Notamacropus eugenii: one gene and its partner. The protein of the gene in region 1 purifies or fractionates together with the protein of each later gene. This does not show direct contact. Links are inferred from orthologs where the notes say so. Each region holds a gene or a part of one and is shown in the gene's direction. Other genes may lie near its edges. The genes, in order: TMEM43 and ENDOD1.

Region 1 (15,187 bases):
GTGGGCGGCTCCTTCAATGGGACTTCCTAAATTGCCATGGTTGCCAGTCGAGATGGAATGCCAGAGCCTCAGAAACTAGGCCATGATGGATAAACACTGGGCTTGGAGCCAGGAGGGCCAGGTTCTCGGGCAACCATGGTCTCAGGAAAAAACCAGATGGATGACCCAGGGCATGTTCTTTCTCTTCTCTGGGCCTTAGTTTCAAATCCACATTTGAAAATGGCCAAGGTGGGTACCACATCACACCTGTTAGATTGGCTAACATGACAAAACAGGAAAAGGATACATGTTGGAGAAGATGTGGGAGAGTTGGCACAGTAATTCTTTGTTGGTGGAGCTGTGAGCTGATCCAACCATTCTGGAGAGCAATTTGGAACTATGCTCAAAGGGTTATAAAGCTGAGCATACCCTTTGACCCAGCAATACCACTTCTGGGGCTATATCCCAAAGACATCATCAAAATGGGAAAAGGACATGTACAAAAATATTTATAACGGTTCTTTTTGTGGTGGTCAAGAACTGGAAATCGAGGGAATGCCCATCAATTGGGGAATGGCGGAACAAGTTGTGGTATATGAATGTAATGGAGTACTATTGTGCGATAAGAAATGATGAACAGGCAGACTTCAGAAAAACCTGGGAAGATTTATATGAACTGATGCTGAGTGAAGTGAGCAGAACCAGGAGAACATTACACACAGTAACAGCCACAGTATGTGAGAACTGTTTTTGGCAGACTTAACCCTTCACAGCAATGCAAGGACCTAAAATATTTCCAAAGGACTCATGATGCGAAATGCCATCCACATCGAGAGAAAGAACTATGGAGTCATTTTTTTTCATGGTTTCTCCTATTTGTTTTTATTCTTCTATGCAACAGGACTACTGCGAAAATGCGGTTAATAAGAAAGTATGTGTAGAACCCGTATAAGATTGCATGCTGTTTTGGGGAGGGAAGGGGAGAAAATCTGGAACTTAAGGAAGTGATGGTTGAAAACTGAAAACAAATAAATTATAAATTTGGAAAAAAAAAGAAAATGGCCAAGGTGAGTCTGGAAATCCCCAAGCCTCTTTTGCAGTCCCTATCTCTGGGTCCTCTTTGGAGACCCTCCTCAGCTCCACAGGTCCCCCTGCTACCCTAATCCTGTGCCTGGGAGCTGTCAGCTGAGTGTGCCCCCCCACCCCTACCCCCTCCCCTCCCACCAGAGTCCCACCCTTAACAAGCAGCCTGGCAAGGAAAATCCTGTTCCAGACGCTTGAGAAAAGCAGAAAAATTGTGTGAAAGAATTAAACCAGAGAACACCCTACATCATCTCTCATATGCAAATAATCCCAAAGATGGATTGTCCACCACATCATGCAGCCCATACCAGCGATTTCCTCACCTTGTTCCAAAGGGACAAAATTCATTGCATACAATTCTTTTACAAGTCAAAGCTATAATAATCTGTACAAGAAAAGGCAGCTAAGCCACACCTGACAGTTTATTTCAAGCACTGTCCATTACAACAACCCTCCTACATGAAAAGGACAGGGATGGTCCCTCTGAATTTGCTCTAACAGGACTCTGACCTCGTCCTTCAACACCACGCTTCAGACTCAGACATGGGGATTCTGCTTCCACCTCCCCAAAGCCAACCTCATGCTCCAGTTTGCTTCCTCAGCAAAAAAGGAGCAAGCAGAGGCCCTCAGGGCCTATCCTTTCCTGCCCACTGGATGCCTCCGGGTTCTCCTCCCACCTCCTTGGCCATGCACAAAGAAGGAAAGAAAGCTGAAAACAATTCACGGTTTAATGCGACTGGCCTACTAATAAACTGATGTGGTTTCTTTGGGAACTGCTTCCTAGAGTCAATGTTAAATTTCCTGAGGACTGGTCAGAAGAGTCTCTACAACATTTAGCGGAAATGTACTTTTTGGATGATGACAGAGTTCTCTGGCTTTTAAATCAATAACTGAAGATTTCAAAGTTGTTCAGCTGAGTTAAGAAGCAAAAGTGCACTCTTCATCTCTTCATCTTCACTTTGACTACCCACCACAGCTCGTGCCTCAATAGAGCCACACCTCCTGCTTCACCAGTGTGGGTGCTCCCTCCTCCATCAAAGACCAAACTGCTTCCCCAACTGTGCAGATAGGCGTGAGAGCTGCCATCCCCGCAACGCCCACCTGAGGACATTGTGCTCTTGTGACCCTAACTGGGTCAGGACCGCAGGCTAGCCCAGGCCTGTCTGGAAAGCCAGGTTTTAGGCTGGATAACCTTGTGAGGGTCTAGTCCAGAGCAGGGCATGTTTACCTGGCTTCTGTGAACTTGTTTTAAAATACATTCCTTTAAGTATATTTCAACACAATTGCTGTCCTTTGTAAACCAATACATTTCATTATGTGTATTTAAAAGCATTATTCTGAGGAGAGGTCCCCCTAGACTTCACCAGACCATCACATCCAAAGCTTAAGAATTGCCAGTCTAGAGCAGGGCAAACAGAAGGGGGAATGGAGAGCTCATCCAAGGTGGAAGGGGCTGCCTCGGTGGGATCCTCCCCATTTCAGGTCTTGAAGCAAAGGCTTTTCCACAGGCTGGATGAGATGGTCTGCCTGACCTCCAAGGTCCTGTGAAGCCTTCTTGCCCCAGCAGGCCTTGTCGCAGCTTGTGCTCCACTGGCCAGGCCTTCAAGCCAGCAGGGTCACCTCCATGCTAGGCCCTGTTATGCTATGAGGGAATTCTTAACTGCCAACAACCTGTTCCTACAGCATTTTAGCTTTTCCCATAGCCACATTAAGTAAAAGAGCTGATGAAACAGATGGTAATAGGACTGACCAGCAGCTGGTCTGACCACTCTAGATATTTCAGAAAACAGAACCCAGCAAAAGTGGAGAGGTTTTAGGGGTCTCAGATTACCGAACATGGAGAAAGGGTGACCCTCCTGAACCTGACCTGTCCCTCCCTGCCAGGGCCCTGACCCGCTCCTGAAATGCAGGGGAGAAACTTGCTCATGGGCTCTTATTTACAGGGGATGGGGGGAGGAAGGGAGAAGAAATCTTCTTCAACTTAGAAATGAAGTGCTACTGACCATGCTCTTCATAGGGATCGTTGGGGTCATCGGCTACCAGCTCAGCACTGCTTGGTGTCTCATGGTCTTCTTTCGTCACAAATATAATCCGGTCCTTTCCTGATATTTGGAAGAAAGACCAAAAAAAGTCCCAGCTAAGTATTAACTTTAACAACATACCTGTAATATATAGTAATAATATAATACAGGGGTCAGGCAGCAGTCATCAAACACTGCTGCAGACTGGGCCAGAATCCACCTTTCCAGTCATTTTCACCCACCTCTTTTCTAAGCTAAACCAAGCCAGTCTAATCTCTTCTACAACCCTTGGGCTATCTGACAACAGTGATTACTCTCTCTTCAGCTTTAACATCCTCAGTTCCTTCAACTGTTCCTATGATGATATTTCAACGTCCTTTTCTTAAAACAGGGCTCCCAGAACTGAACATAATACTCTAGATGGGGAGGGGGATGGAGGAGGGCACCAGCATTTCTATAGCGCCTTCTATGTGTCTGCTCTGTGCTAAAGCTTTAGAATGATATCTTATTACATCCTCTCAACAACTTTAGGAGGTAGGTGCTGTTAGTATCCTCATTTTAAAGACAAAGAAACTGAGGAAAGCAGGAATGAAACGACTTGCCCAGTCACAGAGCTAGTAAGTGTCTGAGGCCACATCTGAACTCAGGTCTCACCAGGGCAGATGACAGCAGAACTGGTCTCTTCTCTTGAACTGGCTGCTAGACTTTATCAAAGCAGCTTGAGAACGTGCCAGCTCTTTTAGCCCCCTTTAAATGTCTCCTGGACTTTTACACCAAGAGCCTTGACCTAAGGGGCAGTGGCAGGATTAATTTGATTTTAGCCAGTCAGGGCTGAAACACGTCTGTGAGGTTCTTTTGTGCCCTGACACAACAAATTCACAAAGACCCGCCAGGCCAAAGCTGGGTCCTGCCAGACTAGCCTTCTCTCCCTCTTCTCTTTGCCCCTTCATTTTGAAGATACAGAAACTGTGGCGTTCAGAGAGGAGAGACTAATTTAGGCTGAGAACTAGAGTCTTCCTACTTGCCCAGGATTAAAGTGAGGCTCTTAAAGGGGGCTCAAAGGTGGAGATAGCGCTCTATCCCACCCCCAGATCCCTGCTGGACCAGAGGCTATCTGGTCTGCTTGAAAGACCCCAGGGAAGTGGCACCATTGAACAGGACATCCTAATCCTTTACTGGACAGCTCTAACGGTTCAATCTTGCCCCTAGCTAGCAAGTTCAGACCTGCCTTCTCATAACAGCACTGATTTATTTTTAATTTCGGCTCTCTGAAGCATCTTTACTATGCCTGCTCCTTTCTTCCACAGCTTTAGATATGTGAATACAGGTGATACTCAAACACTTGTCTTAACAGAAATCACTCACCAGAGGATGGGGCACATACCCAAAGGGGTCTGATGGGCATCTACCTAGTACAGTGTGTTAGAAAAATACCTGGATCAGGCACCAGAGGGTGGCTCAGCCACCACAGACCTGGGACAAATCCCTTTCCCCTCTGGGTCTGCTTCATTTTTCATGAAGTAAGGGTCATGTCAGGGCCTGCCTCATGGGTTAATGCAGGAGAACAACTGAAACAAAGCTGGCTTTACAAGAGCTTTACGAACCATGGGAGAAATTCTTCTCACCAGGACTGAGGGGCAGGCACTAGAACAGAAAGAGGACAAAGGCTCTGGAACAAAGGCCAGGTGAGGGAGTATTCAAAGTTGCGTCCAGGTTCAGTGCACTTAATCTTATGAAAGAGATCTGCTTCTGTGTATAGGTTCAAAGGTCTGCCCGCCTCCTGCCCAAATATAAAACAAGAGCTTTTTCAGAGGGACATAGCTCTTCTATACCCATCTCAAGGAGCCTGATTCTTCAAGAAGCTAGTAGTTAGAAGTCAATAAAAACTAGTTTAGGGGTAGCTAGGTGGCACAGTGGATAGAGCACCAGGCGAAGAGTTAGGAAGACTCATCTTCCTAAATTCAAATCTGGCCTCAGACACTAACTAGCTGGGTGACCCTGGGCAAGTCACTTAACCCCAATTGCCTCAGTTTCCTCATCTGTAAAATGAACTGAAGAAGGAAATGGCAAACCACTTCAGTATGTTTGCCAAGAAAACCCCCAATAGAGAGAACTGTGACATCAGGAAGAGGACACCACCTCTTGCAAGTGAAGTGGATTACAATGAGGGAGGGCTGTACAAAGTCACCAGCCTCCCTTTCTCTGCTGGAGCCATCTGGATCCAGTGGCCAGACAGATATCAGGACTTCTAGGCTTAACAGGTAAAGGTTTAGAGAAAAGGCAGTCCCAGAGCAGGAAGCCCCCTCCCCTCTTTCCATCCAGCCAAGGAATCCTTTTCCTTTGGCAGGTCTCACACAGCCCTTTGTCCCCAACTGTCTGCTCCTTCCTGCCACCTGAGACGGGGTGAGAAAATGTAGGTAAAACAGCATGTAACTGGAAAGAACCAGGTCAATGTGGGTGGAGTGTTACCCCCTACTGGTAGTAGCATTGTTGGGGAAGCCAGAAGTGTGCTGCTCTCCAGGAGTTGAAAGTCCAGTCCCTCCCTCTACAGCCTAGAGACAGACACCTAACAGAGGGGCCTAGTGACAAAAGGGATGTGATTCAGAGAAAAAGGACCCAGTGATCCAGGCCAGAGGGGCTACTACTGAGGGCACTGTGAATGTTCTTCAGTTACCCATCTGGGGAAGAAAGGCTGAGTTTTAAAAATGGAAAGGCGCTACGGAAAATTCAGGCAGGTCAGACTGCAAAGGAAGAAGGCAGTTCCTGCCACATGTGGCAGGATCTCACCTGGTACCCTAGCAGTAAGGCATGCTCCCTTTTGGGTCTGAATCGGGAATTTCACAAGTGCAGAGAGCTCCTGGTGAAGAAAACACTGGTGCTGAGACTCCCATCCTGGTTTTAGCCAGGTTACGTGACTTGCCTGGGGTCTTGGCACCAGTAGGCCTGTGGAGGGGGTGGGCCCCCTGCAGGCCAGCTACACTACAAATAACAAAAGCATTCTTAGACTATCAGCAGTACAACCACCCATCCAGCCCCCATCTCCACAATCTGCCTTGGAGTTATCTCTCCTACAGTTCCTCCTCCTGAACTTTAGGTCAGACTAGATCACAAGAAGTCCCTCAGTCTTGTCCTTTCTCCCTCCCCTCCCCCATCCCTTCAGGTTCCCCATTTTCAAGACCAATTTGGGTGCTACTTTTCCCATGAAATTTTCCCTGATTTCCATTTTACCACACTTTGAATTTGTAAGCTTAACACAATGCCAAAAGCTAAGGAAAATGATACAAAATGCATGTATAAAATGTTTGAGAAAATCAGAGACCCAAAGGTTGGGCCAAGACTAAATGAAGAGGATTCAGGCACAGGGCAGTGTTGGCTGAAAGATAAACGTCCCTCCACCCAGGCCTCAGGAGGGTCAGAGAATCTGCATTGGAAAGGACCTCGAGAAGCCCCAGAGTCCAAGGGTGGGGAACAGTGGCCCTCCAGGTGCTCAAGTGTGGTCCTTTGTCTGAATCCCAGCTTTGCACTGGCCACGCTGGAGGTCCTAGATGAGGCGGGGGACACCAGACTCCCCACTTCTAATCCAGTCCAACCCATACCTAATATTCTTTAGCCCTCCACTGAGCTACCATCTTGTTGGTGCCTCTCTCACTTCACCTTTTGGGGGAGGCTGTCACAACTTTGGAATGAGACCGTAGTTACTGGTGTGTTTGTTCCTCATGGCACCCCTTTCCTCCCAACCCCAAAGGCCAGTGCTGAGCACCAGCTTTGTGAGAGGGTCAGCATCTCTCCACATTCATCCCACAAGCGTCATCTAACGACAAAATGTACCTGTTGGAGCTGGGGCCCACTCATTCATTCAACAGGCATCTGTGATATGAATTAGTGACCAAACTGCACAGGGAACAAGAAAATGAGCTGCAGAGTGGAAGTCCCTGCCCCAGCGCCGAGGTAAGGAGCGCTCAGAGTTCAAGGTGGGCTCTGGCAGAGGCGCAGCCGTCCCGGTCCCGGCCCCGGCCCCGGTCCCGGTCCCAGCCCTAGCCCCGGCCCTGCCCCCGCCCCGGCCCCCGCCCCGGCCCCACACCGGCGCAGGATCCGGGCTGATTAGGCCAGGGCGAGTCAGGAGGACGCGCCCCAGACCTCCTCGGACCCTGCCTCCACCCGCAGGTTCGGTGAGAGAGGGCGATGCTGCTAATGGGGAATCCTTGGGGGCTGCGCCCCGTCCGGGTCTGGGTGAGGGTGGTCTCCATGCTGACCTTGGGAACTCTGCCATGTGTTCCTCCGCCGGGGAAGGTCATTGGCCACCTGGGCACCCCACCCCGCGCCTTTCCAGGCTTGGGATGAAGGCGGCTAACCTGACTTACGCCGGGAAGGGGCTTTGGGAAGCAGAAGGTCCAACCTCGTTCTACAGAATCTGCAGGGGAAACGACTGGTGCAAGGTCACCCGGGGAGCTAACGGTGTCTGGGCTGGAAACCCCGGGGCCTCCTGCGAGGTGTCTGGGTTACCTCGAGGGGGGGGACCGCCGGGAAGCCCCGGTTTCCAGAAGGCCCTGGGCTGCTTAACTTCCGGACTCCCCGGGGGGGTGGGCGCCGGGGGTCCCCGCGGGGCCGGCGCGCCGCCGGGCAGCGTCTCGGGCTGAGCACGCGGGCCGCCCTCCAACAGCCCGGGCCCCAACGTTCGATCGGCCGCGCGCGCGCGCGCCCGCCCGCGGAGGGGGCCGCGTGTCCCCCGCAGGCCCTCGTCCTGGCCCCGCGCCCGCGCCCTCCCCCCTCTTCCCCGCCTCCTCTCGGCCCGGCCGTTCGCACCTTCCTCCCGGCAGTAGGACATGGCTGAGGCCGGGCGGCTCCCGTGACTCCGGCTCCGACCCGCTCTCCACGCTAGTCGCTCCGGCCTCGCGGTGGCCACCAGGCGCCGTGATCTCTCTACGGGCTCCGCCCCCTTTCCCAGGGCCTGCCCTGCGGCGCCCCAGCCCAGCCTCTCCCTCCGTCCGTCCCGCCGGCCAGCCAGGCGCCCAGCGGCCTACGCCTCCCGAGCTCCTCTAGCCCTAGGAAACTACATGTCCCAGACGGACGTAGGCCGGGCCAGGCGGAAGGGCAGGGCGGAGGCTCCCGCAAGCCCCCGCCCTCAACATAGAAAACTACGTTTCCCAGGAAACCTTGCGGCGCGCAGGCGCAGTAGAGCCGTTCGGTTATCGTGGGTGGTAACTTTGTAGCAGCGAGCCCAGCCTTGTTCCCCCGAGTTCGTGCTTTCGCGGATCTGGAGAGAGGGCTGAGTTTTCCCGGCTCTCGGGGCTCCCGCTGCTTCTCCGGCCAATTGCAGCTCCGCCCTCCGACCTCCGGCATCTTTGCCCTGCGTTGGAGATTGAGGCAGCACCAGGTCGAGGCTGACCATGTCCCGGAATGTAAGTGTGTGCCTGCCGCCCCACCCAGCCCGGATCCCTCCTGGCTGGGCTCTCCGAAGCTGGCCCGGGATGTCCGCGGCTGCAGTCCGGGGGGCCTCGGGAGCCGCATCTTGCCGTCTGCGTGCCTGCTTTACCCGTCTGCATGCCCCATTCCTTGTTGCCCCTCGGGTGGCGGGGCTACCGCGGATTCTTTTTGGGCGACTTGAACGGCAAGTTGGGCACCGATCTCAACTTTCGTTCTGGGACTGGGTGGGGTGGGCCCCTCCCTCCTGTGCCACTTTGTCTTATAAAGGTGGGAGGGAGCATCTAGCTGCTGTAATGACTCACTGTGGCTTCAGAGCCGTTTAAATCTGGAAGAGATTTTAGAAATTATTTTATTTTTAAAATTTAAATGAATTTAATTTTTAAAAAAAAATTAAATTTTTTTTCAACGAACAAGTCTGTTTTTCTCCCTCCTTTCCCCTCTTTTTTTTTTACTGAAAAAAAATTTTCATTGGTTCCCTACATCCTACTGAATTGTTTTTTTAAAAAATTTATTAATGTTTTCAACTTTTTTTTGTTTATTTCTTTTTTAATAATTAATTTATTTGTTTTCAGTTGTCAACAATCACTTCCATAAGTTTTAAATTTTCTCCCCCTTCTTCCTCATGATGGCATCCGATCTTATATGGGTTCTGTATGTATATTCTTATTAAACACATTTTCACTTTAGTCATATTGCATAGAAGAGTTAAAACGAATGGGAGACACCATGAGAAAAACAGAACATAACAAAGGAGAAAATAGTACTTCATTCTACCTTCTCACTCCGTAGCTCTTTTCTCTGGGTATGGATGGCATTTTGCATCATGAGTCCTTTGGAAATGTTTTAGGTCCTTGCATTGCTGTGAAGGGCTAAGTCTGTCAAAAACAGCCCTTGGACACTGTATATAATGTTCTGGTTCTGCTCATTTCACTCAGCATCAGTTCATATAAGTCTTTCCAGGTTTTTCTGAAGTCCTCCTGCTCATCATTTCTTATAGCACAATAGTATTCCATTACATTCATATACCACAATTTGTTCAGCCATTCCTCTCGATTTCCAGTTCGATTTCCAGTTTGTGGCCATCACAAAAAGAGCTGCTGTAAATATTTTTGTACATGTGGGATGATCTCTTTGGGATATAGCCCCAGATGTAGTATTGCTGAGTCAAAGTGTATGCACATTTTTATAGCCCTTTGGGTGTAGTTCCAAATTGCTCTCCAGAATGGTTGGATCAACTCACAACTCCACCAACAATGAATTATCGTTCCAGCTCACCTACACCTTCTCCAACATGTATCATTTTCCTGTTTTATCATATTAGCCAATCTGATAGGTGTGATGTAGTACCTCAGAATTGTTTTGGTTTACATCTCTCTAATCAATAGTGATTTAGAGCATTTTTTCATATGACTAGATAGCTTTAATTTCTTCCCCTGAAAACTGCCTGTTCATATCCTTTGACCATTTATCCTGTCATATCTACCTTTTCCAGAATTCTGTTCACCTCTTTAACTTCCTTCTTGTTTATTTTGAGGTTAGATTTATCAAGTCCAGAGAGGGGGAGGTTGAGGTCATCCACTAGTATAGCTTTGCTCTCTGTTTCTTCCTGTGACTTCTGTAGCTTCTTCTCTAAGAATCTGGATGCTATACCACTTAGTGCATATGTGTTTAGTAACGATATTACTTCATTGTCTGTGGTGCCTTTTAGCAGGACATAGTTTCCTTCCTTATCTCTTTTGATTAGATATATTTTTGCTTTTACTTTGTCTGAGATTAGGATTGCTACCTCTGCTCTTTTTACTTCAGCTGAAGCATAATATATTCTACTCCAGCCTTTTATCTTTACCCTCTGTGTATCCCCTTGTTTCAAATGTGTTCCTTGTAAAAAATATATTGTAGGATTATGGTTTTTAATCCTTTCTGCTATCCACCTCCATTTTATGGGAGAGTTTATGCCATTCACATTCACCGTTATGATTACTATCTGTGTTTTCCTCTCTATCCTATTCCCCCCCTACTGTTTTTGCTTTTATTTCTCCCTTCTCTTTCTCAAAATAGTTTACTTTTGTCCTCTGCCTCCCTCATTCTTCCCTCTCTTCTGTCGTCCCCTCTCCCTTTTCTTTCCCTTTTCCCTTACCACTTCTTCCTTCCCTTCAAACCACCCATTCCTTTTCTTTCCCCTTTTCCCCTCCTACTGCCTGTAGGGCAAGTTAGATTTCTATACTTAACTTAGTATGTTATTCCCTCCTTGAACCAAATCCAATGAGAGTAATGCTCAAACAATGCTCATCCCCCTCCTTTCTTTCCCTTTACTATACTATATTTTTGTGCCTCTTCATGTGATGTAATTTACCCTTTTCTGCCTCCTCCTTTCCTATTCTCCCTTGGCACCCCTTCATTAGGTTTTTTTTATCATCACATTAGCTAATTTATACTCACATGCTGTATCTATCTATATCCCTTTTAAATGTTGTAATAAATATACAGTTCTCAAGATTAACAAGTATCATCTTCCCATAGAGGGATGTATACAGTTTGCCTATATTGAATAAAAAGGTTTTTTTTCTTTTTTTTTCCGTTTGCCTTGCCTTTCTTGAATCTTATATTTGAAGATTAAATTTTCTGTTCAACTCAGGCTCATCAGAAAGGCCTGGAAATCCCTTATTTCATTGAATGTCCATCTCCTTGCCTGAAAGATTATGCTCAGCTTTGCTGGGTAAATTGATCCTTGGTTGTAGTCCAAGCACCTTTGCCTTACAGAATTTCATATTGAAATCCCTCTGATCTTTTAATGTAGAAGCTGCAAGGTCCTGTGTGATCCTGACTGTAGTTTCTCAATATTTGAATTGCTTCTTTCTGGCTGCTTGCAGTATTTTCTCCTTGACCTGATAATTCTGGAATTTGGCAATAATATTTTTGAATTTGGGATCTCTTTCCGTAGGTGATTGATGAATTCTTTCAATGACTATTTTGCCCTCTGGATCTAGGACCTCAGGGCAGTTTTTCTTGATGATTTCTTGGAATATACTGTCAAGGTTTTTTGTTTTTTGTTTTTTAATCATGGCTTTCTGTTAGACCAATAATTCTTAGATTTTTCTCTCCTGGATCTGTTTTCCAGGTCAGTTGTTTTCCAATGAGATATTTTACGTTTTTTTCTATTTTTTCATTCTTTAGATTTTGTTTGACTGATTCTTGATGCCTCATAGAGTCATTAGTTTCTACTTGCCCAGTTCTGATTTCTAATGAATTGTTCTCTTTGGTTAGCTTTTGTATCACCTTTTCCATTTGTCCAATTTTTCCTTTTAAGGAGTTATTTTCTCCTGTTAGGTTTTGTATTTCCTTATCCATTTGGCCAATTTTACTTTTTAAGGAGATGATTGTATTTTTAAAGTGGTTGGTTAATTTTTCTTCTGCATCTCTAATTTGGCTTTTAAAGTCTTTCTTGAGCTCTTCCGAGAATGCTCTTTGGGCTAGAGATCAGTTCATATTCCCTTTTGAGGTTTCAGATATGGGTATAATATCAATGCAGTCCTCTTCTGGATTCATATTTTGATCTTCTCTATCCCCGTAATAAAATTCAATAGCGTTTGCTTTTTCTAATGAACTTCTTGCTCATGGTGATTGCCTTTTTACTGGCTTTCAAAATGGATCTCTGCTTCTGGAACACAGAGGGCTCTGTCCCATGTTTCTTGCGCTGGGAGTTATGGATGTAGTTACTGGCTTTGTGTGCTGTGACCTCTGGTTCTGTCAACTAGAAGCTATATAATGTTGCAGCTTATCTGGTGCTGAGCTGGCTGGTGTGTGCCAAGGTGAAGTCTATCTGAGTTCCCCTAGGTTACACTGAAGCTCATGGCATGAGGTGAGGTCTGACCACTGGAGGTGTCCTCCTTCCCTAGGGCTATGCTAAAGCATGGGCAGGCTTGGTGGCTGGTGAACCCTGTCTGTGCTGGTATCTGCCAAATTTCCCTGGCTGGCTAAGGCATGCCTAGGGTCCTGGTATTGGTGCTTACTGACTCCACTCCACTGTGACTCAGGATTTCGTACTGGTCCACTGAGGTGAGACTTGCTGGGACACTTCCAGTCCTACACTGGCCCTCTTCAGCCGCAGCAAGAGGGATCCTTCCCGTTGATCTCCATAGCCTCCCGAACTAAAAGACTGCTGTTCCCCTTCTGCTGGCTCCACTATTCCAGGATTTTTCCTGGGGCAATATTCTCTGGGTTTTTCAAGGTCAACAAGGGGAGGGTGAGAGCACTTACAGTTTACTCTGTCATCTTGGCTCCCAGAAGCCTCTTTTCCCCTCTTGCAACAAATAGTTGGCCATGTCCAGAAAGTATCTCCATCTGCCCCCTAAGTCCATCACCTCTCTGTTGGTAGATGGGTATGCTTCATCATGGATTCTCTGGAATCAAGGTTGCTCATTTTTTGAGAAGCTAGGGTCTCATTTGTTGGAAACTATCAGTTAGGAAATCACAGGTTAGAATTCCAGCTCAGATAGACTAACTTCATGACCATGGATAGGTAAGTCAGTTAACAATTCTAAGTTTCTGTTTCCCAATCTCAAAATGGTAATAACTCAGTAAATATTAAGTGTCTACTGTGTGCAAAGCTTGTCTTACCTGTAGTGGAAAGAACGCTGGGCTTTGAGTTAGGAAGACCTGGGTTCAAATTCTGTTTCTGGCTCTTTCTGCAGTTAGGTGGTACAGTGAATAAAGCCTAGGACCTGGAGTCTGGAAGACTTGAGTTCAAATCCAGCCCCAGATGCTTACCACTATGACTCTGGGCAAGTCATTTAATGTCTTTCTGCCTCCATTCCTCATCTAAAAAATGGGGGTAATAATAGCACCTACCTCACAAGAGTTGTGAGAATCAAATGAGATAACTTTCGTAAAATGCTTAGCACAGTGTTTCACACATGTAAACACTGTATAAATGCTCCTTTCTTCCTTCCTTCCTTCCTTGCATCAAGATCCTGGACCAGTCACTTAACAGCTTTATGCCTCAGTTTCCCCCCCTGCAAAATGAGATGGAGAGGGAGTAGACTTTTTGGCTTCCAATCTCTAATTCTATGCTCTTAGCAGTGATTCTGTGTTAGTAAAACAGAAAGTGACTAACTATCTCATTGGACTGTTTTTAGAAAAATATGATTTATAAAATTAAAGAAATAAGAGTTTGTAGGTGAGGATTGAAGCCATGTTTTCTGAATCCAGTTCTAGGGTTCTTTTCACTGCTCCATTGACCTGGTGCTTACTGGGTACAAAGCCCTGAGCCTTCCATGCTGTGGAAACCATAGTGTTAGTAGTCAGTCATGTTCATGGAGGGCTTTATAACTTACAGACCACCTTCCTCGCAAGTATTTTGTGAAGTTGGTAGTGCAAGTATTGTGAGGCAGTGTGCATGACCTGAGGGCCAGTTGGGGTCTTGGACTTGACATCAGGAAGATCTGAGTCCAATCTCACCTCTGATACTAGCTCTGTATTCATGGACAAGTCACTTAACTTGTCTAAGACTCAATTTGCTCACCTGGAAAATGGGGTCTTGGTGTGGCTCCAAAGAAATAATGTATGAAAACTGTAAGTCCTGCATTGGTGTCAGTTATCATATAGCTATAGAAACAGACTCAAGAGAGATGGATTGCTCAGATTGAGTAAGGCATCATCATGGCCCTTATTATCATAGGGATGATAAAATTGGCATGTAATGCCAGGGGATGGAAAAAGTGCTGGCTTTAGAGTCAAAGGTCCTGAGTTCAAATCCCAGCTCTCTTTACTACTATGTGATATTGAACACGTTTCTTCACCTTTTTGTGACTCAGTTTCCTCCTCTGTAAAATGAGGTTAGACTAAGTGATGGTTGAGGTCCCTTCCAGCTCTAAATCTATCATCTGTAGTCTGAGCTAGGTCCTTGGGATAGCTAAAAAGCTAATAGTGGAATCCCACTGGGAATGCTTTCCCTCAGGCGTTGTGTAGGAGATCAAAGTCCTGGGCTGCTTTCTTCTATTGTCCTGTGCTAAGACTAAGGGAATTTCTTTCTCTTGATGAGGTGATGAGAGACTTTCTCAGGTACATCCTAACCCCAGGGCCCTCACTCCTGGACTGGTGGTTCTATACTTTCATAGCATGTTACAGCCTCAGAGAGAGCTCTTTCATGTCCATTTTATTCCATGACTCTTACAGAAGCTCTATGAGGTAGGTAATGCAAACGTCTTTGTCCCTGTTTTACGGATGAAGAAACGAAGGCTCAGAGAAAAGGCTATGTGTACCTTCAAGGCCAGAGGTCCTCTCCTTGGTCTCCCTATGAGCTCAACAGTACTTTGCATGTTGAGATTATTTCTTGACTGTCTTGGGATGCAAGCACTGGCCATGATCTCTAGGGGGAGCATCCTTGCAGTTAGCACTTTATCACCTAGTGTCTAGGACCATTCGACCCACAAATGGTGCAAAAGTTCTCATATTCTTGGAAGGCCTGGAGATGAATCCTGGCTCTGATACTTTCTAATCATTTGGCAGATTGCTTCACCCCTTTAAGCCTGAGTTTGGTCACTTGTAAAATGGGGTATATGTATGTGTGTGGAGAGTGTGTTACAAAGTGTATAAGCTGTTCATTGTTGTTACTATTGTGATTGTGTACAATAAATGTTTGTTGGGTAATGTATTCTTGATACTTTATAAACTTTGCAGTT
Region 2 (15,376 bases), on another chromosome or scaffold:
TAGCCAGGTCTCCTGCCAAGTTCTGCAGACTTGTTTTTCTTTAACCAATTTTTTTTTAATGTTACCTGAGGCAACACTTCTTGTGATCTTCCCTTAGTCTCCTCCACAATGTTTGGCAAATTAGCTTATTTCTGAACCAGTGCTGCCCTCTCAGTCAGATCCCTCTCCATATGGCAAGAAGATGAAGTGTTTACTGGTTGAAGTGGTTTCTGAGATTTTTCAGTTTCTCAATTGTATCAACTTTTCTATTGGTTACATTTTTCTAAGAAAAATGGTTCATGTCATTACTTTTGCTTATTCCCCATTTTCTTAGTTTGACACCTTTTTTTCCAGTAAATATGTAAATATACCTTTCCTCCCTAATTTGTTTTTGTTTTTAACCTTTGCTCCAATTGCTACTCTGATCTGTATTAGCAACTGTTTCCGAAATAATTTTCACATCATCAGCCATTCTTTTTCCTGTCTGTTGATGCAGTCAGTCATTTATCAATAGTCAAACATTAATTGATCAATCAACAAGTATAGCCTACTCTACTAATTACAGTATTGGAAAAGCATCCTGACACTCGTAACTCTGGAAAGTAAATTCATTATTATGGGCAACTATGAGCTTGATGCACAGCTGCCACTTCTCCAAAATTTATATTCCTATCATATGGCAGCTAGGTGGCAATATGGATAGAACATCAGGTCTGCAGTCAGGAATAACAGAGTTCAAATCTGGCCTTCAACACTTTCTAGCTCTTTGACCCTGGGAAAGTCACTTTACCCTGTTTGCCCCAGTTTCCTCACCTGTAAAATGAGCTGGAGAAGGAAATGGCAAACCACTCCAGTATCTTTGCCGAGAAAACCCCAAATAGGGTCATGAACAGTCAGACATGACTGAAACAACTAAATGTCATCTTTATCTGTCTATCTATCTATCTATCTATCTATCTATCTATCTGTCTGTCTGTCTGTCTGTCTGTCTGTCTGTCTGTCTGTCTGTCTATCTATCTGTCTATCTATCTATCTATCTATCTATCTATCTATCTATCTATCTATCTATCTATCTATCTATCTGATTAATCTTATCACCTAAAAATTACTCCTTTCCCAAGAGGAAGTAGTAGAGAGGAGCTGAGGTAACTCTTAACTCACCTCCTTATTAAAATGTCTACCAAGTGAGATTGTCTTATCTTTGCCAGTGGCAGTCCATATGATGTACTGTCAAGTCAACCAGAAGGGAGACACACCTAAATTTAAAGGACCCTATTGACTCTTACTCAGGGTCTTTGGTCATTGAGAAAGGCTATTGACATAATGTATTGGTTAATGCTAACCTAATTTATAAATTGATCATACTTAGATACTTGTTTTTTTTGGTTGAGATGGGCCAGTGTGAGCTATATTACTAAGAGTTTACCTGTCACTGTTAAAAAATTGTTATCTTGCCCTGGAGAAAACTGTATCTCAGCTTGCCTATGCTACAATTTTACTCACCACAGGGAGGAGAAAGAGGTGGGCAGAGGGGAAAGAGAAAGGGCAGGAAGGGAAAAGGGGGAAGAGAGAGAGAGGAAGAGAGGGGAAGGGGAGGAGACAGGGAAGGGGGGGGGGAGAACAGGAGGGGAGAGAGAACTTGTCTCTGACAGTCCTCTCAAAGCTTCTGAATTTTTTCATCTTTATGTATCCTTATGATGAAACCTAATGAGTATTGCTTCAAAGGACTTTTTTGCAATCACAGTAAGGATTTGAACCTGTGTGGTCTTTCCACCTGAAGTAACTAATTTTCATGATTCAGTCATTTTTCTAACTTCAGAGATCAGGAGTCATCTAGATTCTTCTAATACTAGCATTGTCATTTTTTTAGTAGAAGAACTATAAGCCTTTTATCCCACAAATCTAAGAATCAATCAGATATTATATTACTCAGTCATCTTCCAGCCTGTTCTTGTCATATCACATTATTTTGTTGGGGACTGTTGTTGAGGGGGGCATGCAGGATGAAAAACTTTAATACAATGTCATAAGACAGTCTACAAGAGATTTTATACAAACTAATTTGGGTGGGGGGTGTACGGGGGGAAATGGAGAGCTAAGTGGTACAGTAGCTAGAGCTCTGAACCTAGAATTAAGAAGACCTGACCTTCAAATGTGTCCAAATGTGACCTCAGACACTAAGCAAGTATGACCCCAGGAAAGTCACTTAACCCTGTTGGCCTCAGTTTCTTTATCTGTAAAATAAGCTGGAGAAGGAAATGGCAAACCACTCCAGCATCTTTTCAAAGAAATCCCCAAGTGGGGTCCCAAAGAGTTGGATATGACTGAAGAAGAACAACTGAGCAACAAATTCTTTTTTTGGTGAGAGGTGGGAATGCAACTTATATTTGTCTAACATTGTTCACACACATGTTTATGTAATGGATTTTTGGTCGTGTGGTTTCCAGTGAATATCAGGTCATTGGATTCAGATGGCTCTGGAGGAGAAGTGAGGCTGGTGACCTGCATAGCCCTCCCTCACTCAAAACAAAGTCAAGTGCAAGTCATGTCATCATTTCTCTGATGGCATGGTCTTCTTTGGCAAGAAAGGATGAATACAATAAAAAACATTAGGTAGCGATGGTGGTTCAGTGGTTAGAACATTGGACCTGGAGTCTGGAAGATCTGAGGTCAAATCCAGCTTTCTATACTACTGTGAGATAAGTCACTTAACCTCTGTTGGCTTCAGTTTTCTCAAGTGTAGAGTGGAATAATAATGATAGTACCTACCTCTGAGAGTTGTTGTGAGGATAATATTTTTAAAGTACTTAGCACAGTGCCTGGCACAAAGTGGGTGCTTATTAAAAGCTTGTTTGTTTCCTTCCCAGTGCCAAATTTTTATAGTAATGGATTTAAGCCCTTAAACAACATGATGAAATGATTACTGAAGGAAGTCCATTTTCCATTTTTAATTCTGCACATATAGGAAAAATAACTTTATGCTGTTGTTATCTGTAGGCATCTGGTAAAAACAAAGATCTTTTTTTGTCCTTATGTGCAAAAAATATTTGTAGCAGCTCTTTTTGTGATGGAGACTAAGGAGATGCCCATCAATTGGGAAAGACTGAACAGATTGTGGCACATTGTAATCTCCTGTAAGGAACGAGGAAAGAGATGATTTTAAAAAGTCATGGAAAGTCTTGTATTAACTGATACAGAGTGAAGTGAGCAAAACAGGAAGAAAAAATTACACTATAACATCAATATTATAAAAATGAACTATTTTATTGACTGATGAAAAATAAAATAAGCAGAACTAAGAGAACAATTTATAGCATAACAGCAACATCATAAAAACAAACAAATGAGGTGTAATCAATGCAATGACCATTCAGGATTCCACAAGACCAGTGATGAAACAGGCTATCTGTGACAAAGGTCATGGATTTAGGGGGAGGAATGAAACAAATACATTTTCACATACAGCCATTGAGGGAATTAGTTTTATTTGACTATTAGCTTTGCATGTTTGTTAAGAAAAATTTGTTTTTCCTTTTCTTTCTTTCCAATGGGGCGGAAGATGAAAAAGAGAAAACAGAATTCTGTTCATTTTAAAAATATGAAGGGCAGAGAGATGCTATGTGAAATGTTGCCTTCACTTTCAGATAAGATCACTTAATTTTTAATCTTACTTAACTGTTTTATTTTGTTTCAAGAGACCTCATAAAATGGGAATAATCTGTAAATAGTTGTAATGTGAAAACAAAACACATTAGGAAACTCTTTTAACGGAGCAAAAGAAGGCTGAAAAAGAGCTTCATACTTTGTCAATCCTGAATTATTCGGCTTATGGAATTTCAGCTTTATTTACCGAAATAGTTGCACAGGCATGTAGAGAGATTCCCTTGACAATGTTAATTCCTTTTAAACAAGGTTAACTTGATTACTCCTTTGTTTGGCATTGATGATATTTCCTTGATGACCTGTTAACTCACCTTATCCTGAGTACTCACTCACTAGTTCTTTAAAGCACATATTCTTTGAAAAGATTGAGCCATAAGTGTATGAAGGTTGGCTTGAGCTAGCCTTGGACTTGGTCTTTTAAAAGATGGCTGGCCACCAAACATAGCTGGAGAATTGGACTATGGCTGAACTAGATAGACATACTTCAATTTCTTGGATTAAAGCCCAGTTTCATGAGTTTTCAGAGGACCACATACCTCATCAAACCACAAGACTCCAGAAGAAGGTGGAGCTCCATGGCAGTGAGTAGAGACAATAGTGGAGCAGAAGGAGACACCAGTCCATGAAGGAGGCTGCAGGAATGTGAGCTGGTAGCAGTGAAATTGTAGTGATGATGTGTGTGATAGAGAATTTCCTAGACAGGCAGAAGAACTCCTGAACTAAATTTTTTGAACCCAGAGGAAGAATTCCTAAACAATGCTAAGCTTCTGGAGAAGTTTCAGAATCAAGCTGAAGCCCTAAGTAGAAGCCAGCAAGAGAGTTTTCAAGAGCTAGCAAACAGAACCACATAAAACAGTCAAATAGCCCATTAGCTCCTCTCATAAGGTAGCTGAACTTGGGATTATTATCAGAGCAAAGCTTTGACACATCAGTGAGTCCCTTTCCTACAGATACTTTACCCCCAAAACTTGTTGCACTACTCTATGTTTTAATCTTGACCTCAGAAGATAAACATACCTTGGAGGTTGCTGAATAAACAATACCTCTCTCATTGAACCTACACCAGCTTTGCTCTCCATGAAAGACACTGCATAGGAACTATCCTCTTTTCCCTAGAACAGTGTTAGATAAAGAAATCTTCTCTCTCTTTTAGAAGCTTCCAAACTTGATATTCTCAAATCTGGGAATCCACATATTTTAATTGCACATATTTTCTTCTGGCATGAGTTTCCATGGGAAATCTCTCAATGCCTTGAGGTATTGCTTCCCAGAATATCTTCCTTCTCTGGCTAGAAGTCTTGATTCTGGGATCATTGCTTGGGGCATTTGCATTCTCTTATCTCCTTTTCCTTTACACAAGAAATTGGGTTTAAGAAAGTATCCTTGAACTACCCTCTCAAGCTTCATGAAAGGACACTGACCTGATCAGACTATTATAAAGGTCTTCTAACTGGTTTCCCTGCCTCAAGTCTTTGTCCATGCCAAACCATCCTCCACACCACTGCCAAAATTATTTCTTTAAAGTGAAAGCCTGACCATATCACCTCCTACTCAATAAACATCAGTGTCTCCCCATTACTTCCAGTATTAAATATAAAATCCTTTGTCATTTAAAGCTCTTCACAACCTGTCTCCTTCTTATCTTTCTGGCCATCTCACACTTTATTCCCCTTCACATATACCATGATCCAACTGTACTCTTACTCACTATTCCTCACAAGACTTTCCATTTCTGGACTCCAAGGCTTCTCACTTGCTATACTCCATGCCTGAAACACCATCATCTCACCATCTCTTAGAATCCTTGGCTTCATTTCAAGACTTCGCTCAAACACCATCTTCTGAAGAAGGCCTTTCCATGTCTCCCAGCTACTAATGTCTTTCTCTGTCAGGTTATATTCCATCTACTGTACTTTTGCAGTGAAGGAAACTGAGGCCCATGGAGATTAAATGACTTTCCCAAAGTCATAAGTGTGGGAAGCATCAGAGATGGGTGGGAAGATCACTGCAGTTATACTGCCTGCAGCTATTCCCAACCCTGCTGTCAGCATACCCTGAAAGATGCCATCTTTGAAGGTCCCTGGACTGTGGAAATGGGAGTGAAGCCCAGAGAGCACCCAATCATGTCATGTAGGTCAGTTTTCAATACCATTCACACCCATGAAATAAACTGCTTCATCCATGAATAAGAAGATAAAATGGCTGATATAAAGGGAATTATATTATACTGGAAATAGCACAGGACTTTGAGTCAGTTCCACCTGTCACATATTAGCTGTTTGACCTGGGGTGAGTCAATATACATCCCTGATACTGGGTTTCCTTATCTATCAAGAGAGGGATAATAACTCAGTTGTTGTGAGGCTTAAACCAGACAGTATATAAATAAAGTCCTTTGTACCTGCAAAACACCATAGACCCATTGGCGGCTATTGGGGAATTCTTGGAAAACAGACAATATGAAGAATAATATATTTAGAAAAGGGTATTCAGTTAAACATTAATACATATTTTCTTAAGATATATTTTCCTGGGTGCTGTTTACACAAAAATGAAATCAGACACAATCCCATTCTCAAGGAATTTATAATCTAGTAATAAAGATAAGACATGTACATAAATACGTACTTTATAGATAAGACTTTAAAAAGTCAACCTAATTTCCATACAAAGTGCTATCAAAAATTTAAGAAGTGTCAGGTCACTTCCAGATTAGAAGAGATGACTTCATGAGGAAGATGATACCAGAGTTGAACCTCAAAAGAAAGGAAAGAATTTAAAAAGATGGTGATTAGCAGGGAGGGCATTCATAGAATCAGAGATTTAGAGCTGGAAAGGACCTTAAAAAGCAACAGATCCAACCACTTCATCTTATAAATGTGGAACCTGAGGCTAAGAGAGTCACCCAGTTAAGCAAATGCCTGAAGGAAGATTTGAATTCAGATCTTCCTGACTCCAAATCCAGTTTTTATCTATTCTGCCACTTTCAAAGGGATAACAAGAGGAAAGACAAGGGAGGGGACAGGGAAGGACAGGATGAGAATGGGGGTGTATCATTAGTTTGTTTTGCTCTAATATAATATACATAAAGGAGAGTAGCTGAAAAGGTAACTTGGAGCCAGAATGAGACTGACCTAGAATGTTAGACTGTAGAGCTGGTATTTTATTTATAGACAATGGGGAGTCAATGAAAGTTTTTGAGGAGAGGAGGTGATGTGATCTGAGAGTTTTGTACTAAAAATATGCAGCAAATGTGCTAGATGGATTGGAGATGGGAGAAACTAGTAGACAGAAGGTCCATTGGAAGCTTATTGAAATAATAGAAGATAGTATTGGTTTGAACTAGGCCAGTTACAGTGGTTGGGGGAAGAGGTAGAAATGACAGTATGTTTTGGTAGTGGAATGAAGAAAAGTTGACATCTGTTTGGATAGATTAGGTGTATGCCTGCGCTAGAGGAGGTTATAGATAAAGGGGTGGGAAGAATATTTTTTGATATTTGAATTGGTCAAAATTATTCTTGTTTGTAGTTAGCCTCTGGCTTCCAAGATTTTACCAAAGAACTAATGAAGACTTTTAGATTCTTTTCATAGAAGCTTAGAATGTTAGAGCTGAAAGAGAACTTAGAGGTCACAGTGCAATTCCTTCATTTTTCTAAATGAGGAAACTGAGGCTCAGAGAGGTGAAATGATTTGCTCAAGTTTATAAGACATTTTGGAGATATAATTCAGTAATGAATTATGAATACTGTCTATGTGTTATAGCTTCTGAAAGTTTCTCAGATCTGATATATTCTTAGAATGCAGGTTAAATAGAGGGAGAGGACAAAAGAAGAGGAAGAGGAGTAAAAGGAAGAGAGGGGGGAGAGGAAAGGAAGAAGAGAGAGAGAAAGAGAGAGAGAGAGAGAGAGAGAGAGAGAGAGAGAGAGAGAGAGAGAGAGAGAGAGAGAGAGAGAGAGAATGTCTTCCTGCCAGATATCTCATCTAAAATTAATTCTCTGAGACTAGTTTTAAACATCACCACGACCTCTGGTTCAGTTTGTCTGGAAAAAAAGATATCTCTTCCCACATTTCAGTTGAGTATGACTCATTTTTTTTTTTAAGGGCTCAAGGTCTGGCAGGAACTTAATCCTCTTACCTCAGCACACCATTTCCTCCTTTCCACCAGTCGGTTAAGTCTGGTTTTCTTGGGCTTGGTCTTTCCTGGAAAAATAAAGCCTGTGTTATGGTATAATTTCCACCTTCTCAGCTCCCTTAATTATCTCAAATGCTTTAAATCTGTTGCCTAAATATTTTTTACAAATGCTAATTTGTTCACCAGTATTCTACAAATTAAGCCAAGTAAGATATTTCAGGAATAGCAAAATGAATAAAAGCTTAATAAATTAGCCCTTATTCAGCATTGTCATTATTAAATCTGGTTTTGTTACTATTGCTTATTTCATTTCCATTCCCCAGTATATACATATGCTAGCCACCTGATTTATATATACATATGAACATATGTATATATATATACATATACATACACACACACACACACACATATATATCCATAATGGAAAAAATCGGAGTAGTGATGTGGCATTAAAACAATTTATCTTTGAAAAGTTGTTTGTTTGTTTTTAAATTACCACGATTTAGCTATGAACATAATATGGAGACATACATATGGAGCCATATGTATGACTTTTGTACAGGAGGCAAATTTCCAGCAGAGTCTTCAAAGTAGAGGAGGTATATGGATTGTCATAAAGGTGGGAAATCAAAAACCACGCCAGAGGAAAGAAGGTTAAGCTTTGAATATGGCTTATTGTACCCAAAGCATTCAAATAATAATTGGTTTAAGTCTAAACCTTTTCACCTCATTAAGACTATCAGAATAACTCAAATCTTTCTCAAACTTCTTGCTCGTGGCACTAATTCTTTGCTGGGAGGATTTGTAGCTTGCTAAGAATGATTGGAGAGACTCTTGTAAATGCATGTGGTTACAAGGATGAGTACCATACAGCTTTTGAGAAACACCAGGATGAATTATATTGCGTTTGAATTTCCATGAGTATGCTTGAATTTTATTGCTTGCATTTCACAGAAAGAACACAAAATTTATTCAATACTGTGACCAACGGATGGAAGCTGTGGTTTAGTAAATGAGAAACTCCCAAGTAGTTAGAGCAGTCTCAAAAAGGAATGTGTTACTCAGAAAGGAGCGAGTTTTCTAAGCCAAATTTTCAAACAAGTTAGGGCACCACTTCTTTAAACTATTCTTGAGGGGATTTATTTATATTTTGACTAGAGGACTAACGCCTATGACCTTTACCCTTGTCTATGATTTTCATGTACTGACACTTATGAGGAAGAAAAATAAGTGTAAATTAACTAATGGTTATCTTTTAGATAGAAGTATGAGAGTTAGGAAATTGCTAATTGTTCTTCCATTCTCCAGGCAGTTTCAGGTACCTGGTTGTGTGTGTGTGGGGGAGGGGGGGGTCTGGGGGGGGTGGGTGTGGGTGTAGGTGTACATACGTGGGTTAATTGTAAAATAATGAGATAAATTCTATGTATCACATAAAAATCAGTCTTGTTCCTTGCATTTCATTTTTTTCTCTGAAATTTTCCACTGAAGAACAACTATGTAACTATTTTACATATGCATTTACCGTGCAGTCTATAGTTAACGCTACATTTTAGATCCGTGTTAGCTCTGGACAGCACTTTCTCAGGAAAGATGTGCCATGCACCAGAACCTAGGCTTGTATCCTCATACTCTGAATTTTCTAAATTCAGACATTTATATCCTGAGCATTGGGATCAACGTCACACACACACGCCCCTTATCTCCTAGGACTCAACCTTCCTTGAAGCCTTTCCTTCTCTACACACTCGGATAGCTGCAGTCCAAGTCCTTAAAGCCATCTCCTGAGGGGGAACCCAAAGGTACAGCCTCCAGTTGCTGATTTGTCTCTGCAGCCCATGACACCCTACAGCTTCCATGCAGTTTGGCAGTGCCCTGCCTGTAGAAAGAGTCCACTCCCAGAAGGGAAGGGCTGGGTTTCGAATTTCATTTCCCTTGTAAACCATTCCCAGATTCCAATCCACTTGCAGGGCTCCTCTGCTGCTTTCCAGTCTCAGACCTCTCAGAGAGAGCCCCCAGCCCACAGAGCTGAAGGAGGGCACAGTGAATTTCAGGAAGTCCAACATGAGACCAGCATCTCTCCTTCTCCTCTGCAGCCTCTTTGTTTTCTCCTGGCTCATACAGGGCAGAATTATCCGGGAGGATGAAGCCGGTTTTGCTGAATGTAACAAGTTCTTTTATGAAGAGACCCCGCCTAAAGGATTGGCTGAGCCTTTCCACGTGAAAATCTGTCAAAAATACAACGGCAAGGAGCGCTTTGCTACCCTGTACAGCACCCAAGAAAAGATACCTGTTTACTCGGCTTTTCGATATGCTGTCTCTGGAGAGAGTAGGGAGCAGGGTTGGATGATCGAACCCCAGGTGAGTCAAACAGCTTTGTAGATATTCTGCAGTGGGACCCAAACAAGAGAAGACCGGCAATTCCTTCTGCTTCAGAATAAGGAGGGAGGGGGCCTAAATAACATGAGGGGTGATGGGCACTGCCCGGTGAAACGCTGTGCCAGAAATTGCCTTCCTCCTACCTGAATTCAAATTCTCCCCCTTCACCCCTAAGCCTTTTTACTCTGCTTAAGAAAATTGGAATTTCAGCTCATAAACTTTATAACATTTCATCCAAGTCCCTGCAACATTCAGAAATGCAGAGAGGAACCATTTGGTTCCCTGAGAGATTCTTCTTGATCTCACTTTTAATTTTTTCTGATAACTGTATTTCAAAATAATTGACTTCCTTTGTAATCCTACATATTTAATTATGCTTATTTTTTAATTTTAAAACTTTTCTCTGAAGAGTCCATAAGCTTCACCAAACTGCCAAAAGGGTCCATGACACACATATAAAAAGGTTAAGATCCACTGCTCTACACAGAAATTTATCTATATGGATGATGATGCACATACAACATTATAAGGTACTCGACTAGTATAGGTCCCATGTGATACTACCTTACATGCATACTTTGCTTTACAGTTTACAAGCTGTTTTCCTGTGAAATAGGTCATACGAGTGTTATTATGTTTTCCCTGTTTTACAAGGACACTGAGGCTCAAAAAGGTTAATGAACTTGTCCCAGATCATGCATCTCATAGAGCCAGGTTTTGAACTCAGGTTCAGTGCTTTCTCTGCTCCACTATGGAAAAGGGATAAAAGTATGATTGTATTTGTAATTGGAAAAAATAAAATACTATTTACAAAAAAAAGAAGAGGAAGATCATTTGGTCACAAGGCTTAAAAACAAAAACATGCACAATGATTTCAACTTAGAGACGTTATGAGGTATTAATTTCTTCACAATGAAGAAATTTTGGAATTTGGAGGAGTGTTTCCTGTTATTCATTGTATTTTTATCTCCCATTCTACATTTGGGAAAATATCAGGAATTGTCAAATTGAGAAAAAAATTTAAGAAACTTTTGGATTTTTAAAAAAAGGAATAACAAAGGCCTAGGGAATGTCTCTACCTATTGGCTTGGTAAGAAGGACAAAATAATTGTCCCCAATTCTTCATTTCTTCAGTATCAACCCCAAGGATTCAGAAATCAAGCCTTCATCTGTCAAGTCACCCCCTGCAGTGGGCTATGTCAGCCAACCAGAGGAATTGAAATGGCCCTCCACACTTAGCCTTCTGTCCCATACCTTCTCCCCAACCTGGTATACTACTTCTAAGGCATTGTGGTATTGACATGTACATGCATACACACATACATACAAACACTGTCTCTCCCTCTTGCAGAAGCCAATAACTCCTCACCTAGAGACAGGGTTTCCCATCACTCTCCACTTGCCCAACCTTCTTACCCTTGTCCACCTTGATGCCAAATCCTTCCCAAGCCTTCTGATGTAATAAACACACCCTAGCCCAACCTGTTCCTGATCTCCATAGCCTGTACCCCCTCCAGCCCCACCCAGATGAATACCAAGACAAGCATCTGGGTTTTCCATTCTTAGAATGAGTTTATTTGGAAGCCTTGAAATATAGCTGCTATCTTGTAATATCTTTTAAGTGCTCATTGTATAAATACATCACCATAGAAGCCACCTCTCCTCCACCATCCCATACTAGGAAGATATAAAGGAATAAGAATACACAGGAAACACGATGTGTTCATAAACACAGAGAGGAAAAAAGTGATCAGAGTGGAATGGGCCTTCAGAAACTTTCTAGAGGAGGTGAGTTTTGAGTAAGAATGGAGTGCAAGAGGCATTGGCTGACAAAGGAAGGAGGTGGTCCCAGGTGAAGGGAAGAACATCTGCCAAGGGATAAGATCAGGAACAAGCAAATTACATACAGGACATAGTAAGCTGATCAGTCTAGTCAGAATAGGAAGTCTGTAGTGGGGAATAATGAAAAGAAAGGTTGATGAGATAGTTGAGAGAGGGAAAAAGTTGATAAAGGAACTCCAAGGGCAGGCTGAGAATTTCCAAAAGGCTAAATAAGGAAGTACATGGTAGTGGCGGGTATTGGAAAGTACAAGGTCTAAGAATTGGGAGACCTGGTTTAACGTCCTGGTTCCGTGCTTGTGTCCTTGCCTCTGTGCCAAGCTATGTAACCTTGGACAAATTGCTTAGTATCTCTGAGACTGCATTTCATAGAATCAAAGAAATTTCAAATTTGGAAAGAAACTTAGAGGTCATGCAGAACAACATTTACCTAAAACATGAATCTCTTCTGTAACATCTGGCAAGTTGCATGCATCCATGTAACGTAACATGCATCCAGCTTCTGCTGGAGCATCTCTATTGAGAAGGAACTTGCTGCTGCTTGGGATAGGCCATTCTGTTTTTGGACAGCTCCAGTTGTTAGGTGGTTAGCTGATATACTGAGCCAAAATCTTTCTCCCCTCAATTTCTGTTACTGATCCTAGTTCTGCCTTTGGAGATCAAGCACGTAAGTCTAATTCCCCTTCACTTAATAGTCGGGATTTATTTACATGTCGTCTCCCCCTTTAGCCTGGAAGGTTCTTGAAAGCAGGGACTGTCTTTTATCTTTTTTTGTATCTTCAACTTGTAGCTCAGCACATAGTAGATGCCCAATAAATGTTTAGTGAAGCTGACTGAACAAGTTTTTTAAAGCAGCTACTACGTTCCAGGCACTGTGCTAGAGATGAAGAGTCCTTCAGATAGTTGAAGTTGCCTTTACTTTAAAGGACTAGATAATTTCTTAGCTCTTGATTCCTTCTGTGCTTTCTAGAAATTAGAAGTTAACTTTTTGTGATATACTTGTTGGAGTACTGTAGAGCATGATGAGAATTTGGCTACTTGAGCAGAGATACCCAAGCCCTGCCTCAGTCAGCATTGTGTCTGATCCAAGTATCTAATTAGGTCAGAACACTTTATGTCTTATATGGTGCCTCATACCTGCACTGGCTAAGGGCATTGCATCTGCCTGCAAGCCATATATGCTGTACCAAGAACCATTTCTGTGGACAACTTAACTAAGAGCCAGACTTCTGAATGCAGCCATTCTTTCATTCATTCATCAGTCAAGAAGCATTTGTTAAAGGGTTTAATATGTGTCAGGCACTGTGATAGGAATCGGGGATATAAAAGTCAAAAAATCCAAGACATGATCTGCCCTCTAGGAGTTTATATTCTACTGGAGGGAGGGAGGGGGGATGCTACATATACTCGTAGAAGTAAATACACAGTACGTGTAAGGTAAATAAAACATAATTTGTGGGGAGAGGGGAGGTGAAGAACATTAACTATGGAAGGGATCCCATCCTTACACACAATGTCTTTTATCTCTTTGCCTTTGCAATTGATGTCCTCCCATGACTAGAATCCTATCGACCTTCACCTTTGCTGTTTAATTTCCCTGGCTTCCTTCAAATCTCAGATCAAATCCTACTTTCTCCAGGAAACCTTTCCCACTTGCCTTCCTCTCTGAGATGATTGCCTTCTATATCTTTTCTAGGTTCCTAGCTTTTTGCAATGTTGCTTTTCCCTTGGATGCTTCTTGATGGCAGAAATAGTTTTTGCTTTTTTTTTTTTATTTTGTATCCTCAATGCTTAACATAGTTCCTGGAACATAGTAAACATTTAATAACTTTTTAAAAAAATAATTGATTGCTTAGTTGATGGTAGATGGCAGCTTTGAAGGAAGCTAGGAATTCTGCTGTAGGAGGCAGAGCTGAGGAGGGACAACAATCAGGGGACAGCACTGGCAAAAGCACATCAGGAAACAGAATGCAGCGTATAAAAAACATCAGAAGGGCCAGTTTGGTTAGAAGGTGTGTAAGAGGGAGGACTGTGTCATAATCTGTCTGGCAAGGTCAGCTGGAGCCAAATTATGAAAAGCTTTAAATGTGCCACAGAGTTGGCATTTTATCTTAGCCACAATAGGAAGCCACTTATGAGTTCTGAGGAACAACTGTAGTATGGTATGGGAAGAACACTGAGTTTTAAATCAGAAGACCTTGGTTTGAACCTGAGTTTTACCACTGGACAGTGGTCTGACTTTTACAATTCACTTAAACTGCTCTATGCCTCAGTCTACTTACCTGGAAAAAGGGATGACACAAACCTCTTGCCTCACAAGAGTGTTGAGCAAATCAAATGATGTAATATCCATAAAGGACTTTTTTAACCATAAAGTAGGATACAAAGATCAGCTAGCTATGATGAAGGAGGACAAAAGCAATATGATTTTCAACAGAGTTGAAGAACACATAACAGCTCCCTATGTCTTATGCCCACTAAGGTCAATTTGTCAATTAGTATTTATTAAGTACCCACTATGTGCCAGGCCCTTTGCTAAGCACTGAGGGTGCAAAGAAGGGGGACAATATAAAAACAATCATGTACAAACAAGATATATGCTGGATAAACTAGATGTAATCACAGAGGGAAGCCTCTGGCATTAAGGGGGATTGGGAAAGACTTCTTAGAGATGGTGATATTTTAGGTAGGACTTTAATATCAAGCTCCATTACAGAGAGATACTTAGCTCTGAGGTTCACATTTTGTTTGGCATAAAATAATTCATGACTGTGAATCACTTCAACCTAGGACACACTTTTATGAGGTCAGCATTATTATTAGGCCCTCATCATCCAGGGGAGGAACAAAGACAAAAGGGAAGCTTCGCCCTTGCCTAAGGTTATTGAGTGAGTCAGTGACAGAGCTGTGGATCTCAGGTTCCCAGAGAGAGAACCCTGGGAATACATCTTTGAATGAGCTAGATCTTTTCAATTACATTGACTGAACCAAAGGAAAATCTGGGAGGGGGGAAGGGGGAAAGGGAGAGGGTGCACCTTCTGGAGGCATAGGAAAATAGAAAACTTGCTATGAGGAAAGTAGTGTTATTTGATGGAGCAAATACAAACCTTGGCTTAACTGAAGACTTGATTCCTCTTGACACAACCTGTGGCCTTGGGAAGGTCACTTAACCCTTTAAAGTCTCAGTTCCTTCCTCTAAAAATTCAGAAGGTTTGACTAGATGATCTTTGAGGTATCTTCCAGTTGTAGACCTTTGACTCTATAACTTTCACCATGGAAACTGAGAAAATATATATATGTATGTATGTATGTATATATGTATGCACATATATATGTGTATATGAATACATATATACATATATATACCAAAAACCCTGTAAAATA

What was found.
Region 2: the proteins of TMEM43 (region 1) and ENDOD1 purify together in Homo sapiens (affinity purification with mass spectrometry; 3 studies listed by BioGRID and IntAct, with this or other methods). This does not show direct contact. The link is inferred for Notamacropus eugenii from reciprocal best matches to the Homo sapiens genes TMEM43 and ENDOD1.

What each region holds. Positions count from the first base shown.
Region 1 is NC_092874.1:429,414,222-429,429,408, forward strand, and holds the start of TMEM43 (transmembrane protein 43), read left to right. Parts: upstream 1-8,343; 5' UTR 8,344-8,470; coding exon 8,471-8,482; intron 8,483-15,187. Other genes in the region: CHCHD4 (mitochondrial intermembrane space import and assembly protein 40), read right to left, coding at 3,066-3,164, 7,887-7,908. UniProt on the Homo sapiens protein: May have an important role in maintaining nuclear envelope structure by organizing protein complexes at the inner nuclear membrane. Required for retaining emerin at the inner nuclear membrane.
Region 2 is NC_092876.1:163,262,946-163,278,321, reverse strand, and holds the start of ENDOD1 (endonuclease domain-containing 1 protein), read left to right. Parts: upstream 1-9,613; 5' UTR 9,614-9,838; coding exon 9,839-10,135; intron 10,136-15,376. UniProt on the Homo sapiens protein: May act as a DNase and a RNase. Plays a role in the modulation of innate immune signaling through the cGAS-STING pathway by interacting with RNF26.